2 linked regions of the Drosophila melanogaster genome follow. The protein of the gene in region 1 interacts with the protein of each later gene in a pairwise test. Each region holds a gene or a part of one and is shown in the gene's direction. Other genes may lie near its edges.

Region 1 (5,828 bases):
TAAAAAAAAAAATAACGAAGCTATAAATTTTTCAACACCCAATATATTTCCAAATATTATCACCAAATTTGCACTTCAAATTGGATTGATGATGATTTGTCCATTGAATATGTTAGAAATATTTTCATATGGGTTTTTTAAGTAAATATCTAAATAAGTAACTCTTAAAGATCACCGATCCCAATGAATGTATAGCTCTACCCACTTTCACCCTCTTCGATTGCAATGCCCACATGATTCGGCAGCCTTCTTCCCACTTCCCATTCAAATGCTCCGTGAAATCTTCGGATCTGTCCAAATGAGCCATAACTTAGCCCCTGACTAAGTGCCCACCTCGGCGCGATCGAAGTACCAGCATCTGGCCAAAAGGTCACACGCAACAGCGGACTGGAGGAAAGGGGAGCATGCCAATCCTTGAGAGGGTGACACGCGCTGTGGGAAGATCGAGCGATCAGGGTGTGGAAACGGGCTGAAGTGGAAGAAGAAGGTCACAAGCGTGCCACCAAGTCGCTGCCTTACAGGGGTTGCAACCTCGAATGGAACCACCCTCATGAGTCCAATTGGAACCACGACCATCGGAATTCCTCGGCTAGAAGTTAATTGTTCGTCCAACATGTGTGACGATGAAGGTGCATTGTTACGGATAGCGATGACCATGAGGTGGACGCGAAATAGATGGGCTCTCTCAACTTTGGGCGAAATTAATCTGTATCAATGGATTGCCAACAAGAAGCCGCTAAATTGGGATTGTACATACATAAGTGCATATGGAAATATAGTGGATGTTAAAAACCCCCCTTTTTAGGTTTTATCTGTGATACGATCTTTAGAACGATTAGAAAGCAGCATAGTAATTTTCATCTCTTCGCCAAAATTGAATGCTTTAATATGGCTATAACTATTCCCACTAGTTTGATAAACGGTTCTGAAATCGAAAACATTTGAAAAGATAGTATAGTATATATACCAGACATAAACTTAATCCTTCAAATCGTTCAACATTCTTCTTATTTCGGCCCCCAATCTTATAGATACCTTATCTCCATATATCGAATCATAGATCATACCATAGATTATCTTCTGTACCATACATTATTATTAATAGGTATGCGATAGTTTGTAACTGCATGGTAACAGAACACAATCAGTTCATTTATATGATATCTCCTAATATGACTATGCTTTCATGATTCTATATCCTCATTATAAATAAAACATAATTCAATAGTAGGATAACAATAAGATCAGCGTGCCATTAGAGTCCTTAAATCCGCTCTAAGAACTGAGAGCCAGTAGAGATGCAAGTCCCGGTTCCCAGGACCCCATCATCCCGTCGTGCTCTTCCGTTCCCAGAACATCTCGATCTGCTGGTAGCCGTGTGCCCGCGAAGCTGAAGACCAAAAACTGGACCCAGGCAGCTAGACCCAGTCAAAAATAAAAAAACAGAAAAAAGAAGAAAAAATCGCAAAGTAGGGGAGACCACACCCCGCTGAATGGAAAATCGTCGAATCGCTGGGCAAGCGGAAAAGTCACACACGCCAGCATGAAACGCACAGAGCGGCGTTCGCATGCGCCGTCCCGCTCGCACGGCGATAGTGGCGGCCGATGGAGCGATGCGATTGGTCGCTGCCAGCGCTGCTGCTGCGCTGCCGCCTGCGCCGGTATAAAAGGACAATCATCGCCAGTAGCCGAGTCAATTAAGGCCAAAGACTCGAGCGGTGAGCGTGCGGCTCTACTCCCATATATACATATATATATATATATATATTCAACATCCTAACCGATAGAAAAGTAGCAACAGCAGCCCAGTTATGTGCTTGCCAAATGCAATTAACAACTGATTGATTTGGAAACTCAGCAGCGATAATCGAGTTGAAAATCAACCAAATAATACACTAAATGGATTGAAAGTGTCGCAGTGGCAAAAGTGTTGTTAGCTAGTTAGTGTGTCTTGTGTGCTGTTACTGTGCGTTCCAAGGATTAAAGTCGTGGAGGAGAATGGAACACGATAGCTTCGATGATCCCATTTTCGGGGAGTTCGGCGGCGGGCCACTCAATCCACTGGGCGCCAAGCCACTGATGCCCACCACAACGGCCATGCATCCCGTGATGCTGGGCAGTGTCCACGAGTTGTGCAGCCAACAGCAGCAGCAGCAGCAGCAGCAACGATTGCCCGACTGCAACACCATACTGCCGAATGGCGGAGGAGGAGGAGCAGGATCTGGCGGCGCTGGAGGATCGCCCAACTATGTGACCAAGCTGGATTTTGTCAACAAGATGGGCTGCTACTCGCCCAGCCAGAAGTACGAGTACATTAGTGCGCCGCAAAAACTGGTGGAGCAGCAGCAGCAGCAGCAGCATCATCATCAACATCATCAGCACTACACGGCCACGCCCCCGCCCAGCCACAATGGCATCCTGCTGCACAAGCAATCCTCCCAGCAGCAACAGCAGCAGCAGCAACAGCTGGTGGGCATCCTGGACTATCATCCGCTCAATGGCAAGCTGGACTACTCCTCGTCGCCCAAAGATCAGTACGAGCCGCAGCAGCTGCAGCATCTGTACGGCGGCAGTCCGCATCATCTGGACCATTTGGATCATGGCAGTGATGGCTTGCTCCAGGACTCCTCGCCCGTCATGATCAACGGAGGATCCGCTGGTGGCAAGCTAAAGAAGCCCGATGAGATGTGTTCGCAGTTGGAGGCGGGTGGTGCTGGAGTTACTCCGCCAAGTAGTTCCTCCACGGTGGTTAATGGCACCACCAATGGCACTGGCAACGCCAACTCCTCCTCCTCCGCTGGCGTCGGCATTCAGGGGGCGGCGGGCACAGCGGGGGGCGTGGCAGCTCCTGCAGCCAAAAAGGACGGAAGCAGCAGCAAGAAGAAGGGCGATCCCAATGGCATCAAGAAGAAGAAGACGAGGTAAGCGGTCGAAGCTGCTACGCTGTCAATTAATTTAACGACGGGAAATCAATGAAATTATGTGGCACAAGATGATAGCACTTGCTATTTATGACCGTGACCACGGGGCGTATGAGTAATTTGGAGTAAGGACATTGCTAGCAACTCGCACGGAAACCCGTGCAATCTGGGGGGCTAATTATTAAATAATGAGTACCGATAGCAGATAGATAGATCCACAGAACATGGTTATCTCTATAGAATTTTCTAATATTCTAAAATATAGTTTCAGTTTAGAACTTTTTTGTAATATAAATAGATACTATGGGTTTTTTCATTTTTCCCTTTTTTTAATCCCTATTATATGACCAACTAACTGTATGAATCCCATTCAGACTTTCATCTAATCCTCTATACTTTCCATTTTTACCTTCAGAACCACCTTTACTGCCTACCAGCTGGAGGAGTTGGAGCGTGCCTTTGAACGTGCTCCGTATCCGGATGTTTTCGCCCGCGAGGAGCTGGCCATCAAGCTGAATCTGAGCGAATCCCGTGTGCAGGTGTGGTTCCAGAACCGACGGGCCAAGTGGCGCAAGCACGAGCCACCGCGCAAGACGGGCTACATCAAGACGAGCACTCCGCCGACGGCGACACTGAATCCCGGAACCCTAGCCCCACCATTCACTAGCTACCCGCAGACGACGACGGTCACGCCGCCGGGCAGCATGGACAGCTGGACCAGCTACCAGACGCCCTACGAACTGACGCCCCAGTTCAGCCTGCTCTCGCCGGCGGCCAGTCCGTATGGCACCTATTCCGGCCAGTACGGTGCCTATGTGCACGAAAGCCAGCTCTTCCCGATGCGTCACTACGAGTACGGTAGTCCCACGCGCATGGAAATGGGCGCCACAACCGGTTCGGTGGCCGGAAACGGAGATGAGTCGGTGGCCAATGGCGGCAGCTATCAGACGGCGGAACTGCAGACCGCCCAGCAGCAGCAACTGGCCGACGGCACACTGGTCACCGTCCATGCCCACCAACAGCAGCAGCAGCAGCAGCAGCAACTCAATGGCAAGTACCTGAGCGCCGAGGAGGCCAAATACGTGCACCTGCAGTGCCATCAGAGTGGAGGTGGTCTGGAGCTAAGTCCCGGCGCCAGCTGTCATCTGGTGGAGGCGCAGGGCCAGCACTATGTGACCACGGCGACGGGAGGAGCTGCATCCGCGGGCGGCACCAGCAGCGATGACAACGACAGCGGCGGCATGCAGACTGTGATCAAGAGCGAGGAGGTCTCCCAACAGCAGCAGCAGCAGCAGGGACAGAGCTACGTCCTGCCGCCTTTTTTGCACTGAGAGAAATGCTCACACACCGGCGACAGCAACAACACCAGCGACGCTGGGCCACGCCCATCAGCACGCCGAACGCCCGTTTCCGTCGGCCATTTTGAAGGGATGGAGGCGTGGCGTGTGCAGCATTTCCAACTGTGTTTCTCCGACTGAAAGTGGGGCTCCAGAAAAGCGGATTCCCAAAGATAAAGCCTCATAAGTAGTAGAATTCATCATCGGATTACTTAAAACTAGTTGCTTTCAAAAAATTTGGCGAGAGTCCACAAATTTTATATTTAATTTGATAATATTGTTTTTTTAGTTTATATTTCCAATCCCTTGGAGTTTTTCTAGCCAGTCCCACACAGTTTCTAGCCACTGTTTTCATATTGCCATAGGTTCCTTTTAGGTTTAATGACGCAAGTTGCAACAACAACGGAATCCACAAGTCTTGCCAAATCATAATGAGGTTATTATGCCTGTCTAAGTCTAGGTTAATCTAGGGCTAGGGGCTCTGCAACGAGAGCCCCGCCCCCAGAATGCATTCCAAATGTGCCTTACCAAAACGGGTGACGAGTGACCTCCCTCCAAATTGGAAAGCTTCGTTGCCCAACAAACTTAGTTTTAGTTATTCTACTCGTAGACTAAGTTCCATTTGCTGTTTTTGCTGTAGTTAGACAATAAAGTGCTTTTTATATTGTATACTAGCTCATTTGGCTTTACAAATTTTATTACTTACTAATTTTGTAAAATGGCTTGCAAATTTTGTTACAACTACATTCAATTTAGTTTAATTTCTAATTGTAAGCAATTACATAAACTAGGACACTTTGCAAATGTATATAATAGACGTATAAATAAATCGTATTTTGTACCAATAATTGATCAGCTTCCAATTCAAAAAAGGAACAACATAAAAGACTCATAAAAACAAAACTGATGGTTAATACACTTGTTTTCGAAGACAAGTATTAAAAGTAATGCATAGAAAATAATATAGCAGATTCACAACATAATTAATCGCTATGGAGCGACTTCAGATTCTTTGAAAGTAATCAAAATCAATGCCAATCAGAACTGAGCAAGGAATCACAAATGGGATTTCAGGTACAGTACGAAATAAGAAAATACTTTACGGACTCAATAGCAAAGCAAATAGTGCCTATTTTCACATGGACTCAGTTCCCTGCTCCAAAACCGCCTGCCAATCGATGCCTTTGAAGAATGGATGAGCCTGCAATTGGTCGTAGTCCAAACGTAGCTCCGGAGAAAGCTGCAGCAGTTGCTCCAGCAGATCCTTGGCATGATCGGAAATCTCCAACGACTCACTAGGATACTGAACACAACCATAGAGGTCCAGTTGCCCGGGATGCGTGACTTTGTAGGGCTGGAAAGAAAGCAGATTGCTATTATCCAAACATTTTCAATCGAGAACTCAAAACTTACAACTCCCAGCAGAAGCTGATAGAGCACCACGCCGTAGCTCCACCAGTCCGAGCGAAAAGTGAGCGGTCTTTCTGGTGCCACAAAGTGATTAGCCACTGCCTCCAAGTTCAGTGCCTTGTGCACATAGTTGTCGTCCGAGGTTAGACCCTCGTTCTGA
Region 2 (4,356 bases), on another chromosome or scaffold:
TCGAACAGGAACTTATAACTAGTCGCATATTGGTTACACTTGGATGCATATACATGTATATATTTAGATTCAATTTGGTACAGCAGCTGGTAGTAAGCATAACACTGCGGTAACCAAGACATCCATGCTGGCAATCCCGACATGAGACATATGTACACACTTGGGGGATCACCGAATCCGTAACTTAACTATCCTAGAGATGCGATGCACAACACAAAAAAAAAAAAAAAAAACAAATCAGAAGAGAGGGAAAACAAAGCGAGACGGCATCTGTCCTGGACAAATGCATCCCCCAACAATAAGGTGCCACATGGCTTAGGCCCACACCCGTATGGTGTAGTCCCAACTGCCGGTGGATAGAGCGGTGCCATCGGGCGAGACCTGGACGCAGGACACCTTGTTCTCGTGCCCGTACAGCAGGCAGACCCTTTCCGATTTCAGCGTGTCCCACAAGTTGACGGTGTAATCGTTGTAGCCAGCAAACAGTAATCTTCCACTGACCGAAAAGTCCACCGAATTGACGCCAAAGATGATGCTCTCCTTGGCGAACACGGCCACCTCGCGATCCGCTCGCATATCGTACAGCCGGCAGCTGCTGTCATCCGATCCAGTGGCTATGGCATCTCCGCAAGGATGGAACTTAACGCTATTCACATCCGATTGATGACCCTCGAAGGACTGAACGACATGACCAGAGCGCATGTCCCAGATGAAGGCCATGCGATCGCAACTGCCCGAGACAAAGGTGTTGCCCGTTTCGTTGGGAGCCAAATCGATGGCCATTACATCGCCGGAATGTCCGTGGAAGCTTTGCAGTAGCTGGCCCGATTCCACGTCCCACAAAGCGCATGTGGAATCGCCACTGCCCGTGAGGATTTGCTGATCGGAATTCGGATAGATGCAGCACGACATGTAGCTGGTGTGGGTGCCCACTGTGCGCTTCTTGGCGGCCATCTCCTCATCGGAGGTTATCGGATACACGGTGACCTTATTGTCTAGTCCGCCGCAGGCCACAAAATTGCCCGACGGCGCGTAGGCACAGGCCATAATCCAGGTGGTGGGCATGGTGACGGCGTGCTCCTTGTTCGTGGTGAACGCATCCCAGATGATCAGACGTCCGTCCTGCGACGAGGAGATGATGTGACGCTTGTCGGGACTCCAGTCGGTGCACAGGACCTTCGCCTGGTGGCCCTTGAGCACCTTACGCGGCTTGATGTTCACATAGGCGATCTGCTCCAGCCGCTCTGCGATGTTCGACAGATTGACGTCGTTCAGCTTCTGGCGCTCCTCCTCCAGTTTGGTCTTCAAATTCTCCGCCTCTCGCACCAAACTGGCCATCTTTTCAGTGGCATTCGCGTTCGCATTGCTCGCTGGCACCGCCGCCTCCGACATGGTTGCTCTGAGATGGCGCTTCTATGGATATCTCTCGGGGATTGTGTGTCCTATCCCGTTCGAACTTCTCCAATTGGACAGCGAAAAATCAATCCGAAAAAAAGTGTATACTCGAATACGAAAATCCGAATACACAGCGATAGGCGCGGTCGGTTATCGATAAGTTTTACCGTTGGTAAATGGCAGAATGTACCGTTACATATCCTTTATTTTCGGAGAACTTGATAAAAGATTGTGACGATGTTATTATTATTAATTTTCATCAATATGACAAGGTATTGATGAAAATTGGCGTCAAAATTTGTTAAATTTTTGTTCTGTTTTTGTTAAAAGCCGGTTTTCCGAATTTCCCTCATAAAATAATCAGTTTTTTGCCCAGAACTTTGAAAATAATTGACCAAATATGGTATGTCATATCTCGTTGAACTCGTAATGAAATTTCCAATCGAATTGCATTCAAATTTGCGAATTCAAAATTTTTCCATTTTTTTGCAAATTTTAATTTAATGTTACCCCTTAAAAAACATGAAAAATATGACACAAAAATAAATTTTTCTATGCCCGCCCAAAAGTGATAGGGTTCGTTAGTAGTGATAATTGGCTGTTCAAAACAGTTATTCTTTAAGCTGCATGATGATTTTCCGCCAAGTTATGACTAGAAACTACTTGTGATAACGAACTTATCGGAGTAAATACCATTTCAAATGTGGCGCCACAACCAAGGTAAGCTCAACACTGCGGTTCGTTAGCCAACACTACCATCAGCTGGGGAAAACCACCCTTCCCCACCCCCTTGAAACAAACACTTACAAAAAAGCGACGCCAACGGCTGGAATCCTCTGCTAATCCGGAGCCAGTTGACCGCCACTTCCACACAGGCAGACCAGGGAGCAAGCCGCGATGATCAAGGTGCAGCCACCGCCGGATGTGGCCGGTGGCTACCACAATCTGCGTTGCGGCGAGGTCTTATTCAGTGCACCCGCCTCCTACGAAGTGAGCTGCTTGCTGTGCGACCAGCGTTTGCCGTTGGACGGCTACCCGGAACACTTCCGGCTGAAACACTTCACGAACAGCTCCAGCTCGCTGTGTTCCAACGAACTGGAAAGCGATCCCATTGCCCAGGACGTCGTCGAAGTACAGGGAAATGAGGAGCTACATGAGGAACTGGCAAAGGAAGCTAGCCCGGACTTAGAGGAGGAGGAGGAGGAGAAGGAGGAAGGTTCCAAACGCCAGCATTACCAGCGTGCAGCGGCCATGAAGAACACCCTGGTGGAGACTCGCGAGGATTTGCTGGACATCGAACTCGACTGGACGGGCGGCGAGCAGTCGGAGCATAATGAAACTCACGAGGAGGAGGAGGGGGAATCGGATGATGATGACACGAAGGACAGCAACGACACGAAGGACATGCTCTTCCAATGCGATCAGTGCGACCGGGCGTACAACACCAAACGCAGCCTGCAGAGCCATCGCCGCCTAAAGCACAGCGAAGCCAACGGCGGAAGTCTGGACAAATCCGCCAGTGAACGCAATAGCAAGAAGCGGAAAGGTCCGCCGAAGGTGTACAAATGCAACGAGGAAGCCTGCAACCAGACATTTCGCACCGAACGCGATCTGCGCGGCCATCGCTGGAAGCACACGGGAATCTTCTGCGACATTTGCGGCAAACCCTTCACCCAGTCGGGCAACATGATGCGCCACCGCCAGCGACACAGTGGCATCAAGCCGCACAAGTGTCCGGAATGCGACGCGACCTTTTACACGCAAAAGGAGCTCTCCTCGCACAGTATCTGCCATACTGGTCGCATGCCCTGCATCTGCGAGGTGTGCGGACGACCTTGCCGAGATCGAGGCGTTCTCACGGCGCATATGCGTCGCCATACGGGCGAAAGGCCGGCCAAATGCGAGGTGTGCGGCAAGGCATTCTATAGCTTTCATGACCTCAATGTCCATGCTGTATCGCATACCAATTTGCGGCCCTTCGTCTGCGACGTTTGCGGCTCCACGTTTCAACGGAAGAAGGCGCTGCGGGTGCACAAGCTGCTCCACTCTGAGCAGCGCAAGTACGCGTGCAAATTGTGCGGCAAGACGTTCGCCCAGTCCGGCGGTCTAAATGCCCACATGCGCAGCCATGATCCGGCGAGAGTTAAGGGAGCTGTGAAGCCGCTGCCGCAATCGGTCACCATCGAGGTGATCGAGGGCAAGAGTCCGCCCACCACCACCATCACCATGGCCATCGACCTCAATGTGGAGGAGCAGCTGGTAAAGCAAACCGAGACTGCACCCACCACTTGGCGCCTGGCCAACTGAGTAGCTAGCTAGGATTAATATAAGGTTAGATGTAGTTCATCTATAAGTTCCAAATTGCGCCATAATAAATGAGAGAAATCAGAAGATTGGAAATGAATTAATAATCGTAAGAAACCAGAAGGCAGATGCATAAAACGATTGATTTGCGGTACAAAAGTGTCCTTTATTGGGGTTTCCTAAACGGAGAGGGTTCCAAGCTGTCAGCGATCCAAGTCCAGATGAGTCTGGGCTCTAATCCTTGCCAGCGTGTGCATTCTACCCGGGATTCTTAGCTCTAAACATGTAGTTCGTATCGCTATGGACTAAGTTAAGTATTGGGATAAAATAATACATACAGCCTTTGTTGTTTTTTTTTTTTTTTTTCCAAACGAAATTGATGATCATAAACGGAGGCTTTTGCGTTAAAGGTTAAAAAAATATATTCCCGCCCCTTCGTTGTTTTCAAAAAAGGTACATATTTTATATTCTATGCGCTGGTCGGTTCACTCATTACTAGTTTTTCGAAGCGATAAACTGAAGAATTAAAACCTAGCATAATTCTAGATGCAATATTAAGTAAACTAGTTTAAAATAGGGCTGACATTTCTGCCAAATGGACGTACTCAGTTACAAATATAGTTAAAATCAATCAAATTGACGAGAATGTTTTGAAAA

What was found.
Region 2: the proteins of repo (region 1) and CG18262 interact in a two-hybrid assay, tested with the Drosophila melanogaster proteins (one large-scale study listed by BioGRID).

The regions. Positions count from the first base shown.
Region 1 is NT_033777.3:18,234,499-18,240,326, forward strand, and holds repo (reversed polarity), read left to right. Parts: upstream 1-1,693; 5' UTR 1,694-1,998; coding exon 1,999-2,921; intron 2,922-3,336; coding exon 3,337-4,252; 3' UTR 4,253-5,104; downstream 5,105-5,828. Other genes in the region: CG7156 (uncharacterized protein), read right to left, coding at 5,394-5,612, 5,672-5,828.
Region 2 is NC_004354.4:8,150,752-8,155,107, forward strand, and holds CG18262 (uncharacterized protein), read left to right. Parts: upstream 1-2,196; 5' UTR 2,197-2,292; coding exon 2,293-3,702; 3' UTR 3,703-3,782; downstream 3,783-4,356. Other genes in the region: Gbeta5 (G protein beta subunit 5), read right to left, coding at 316-1,392.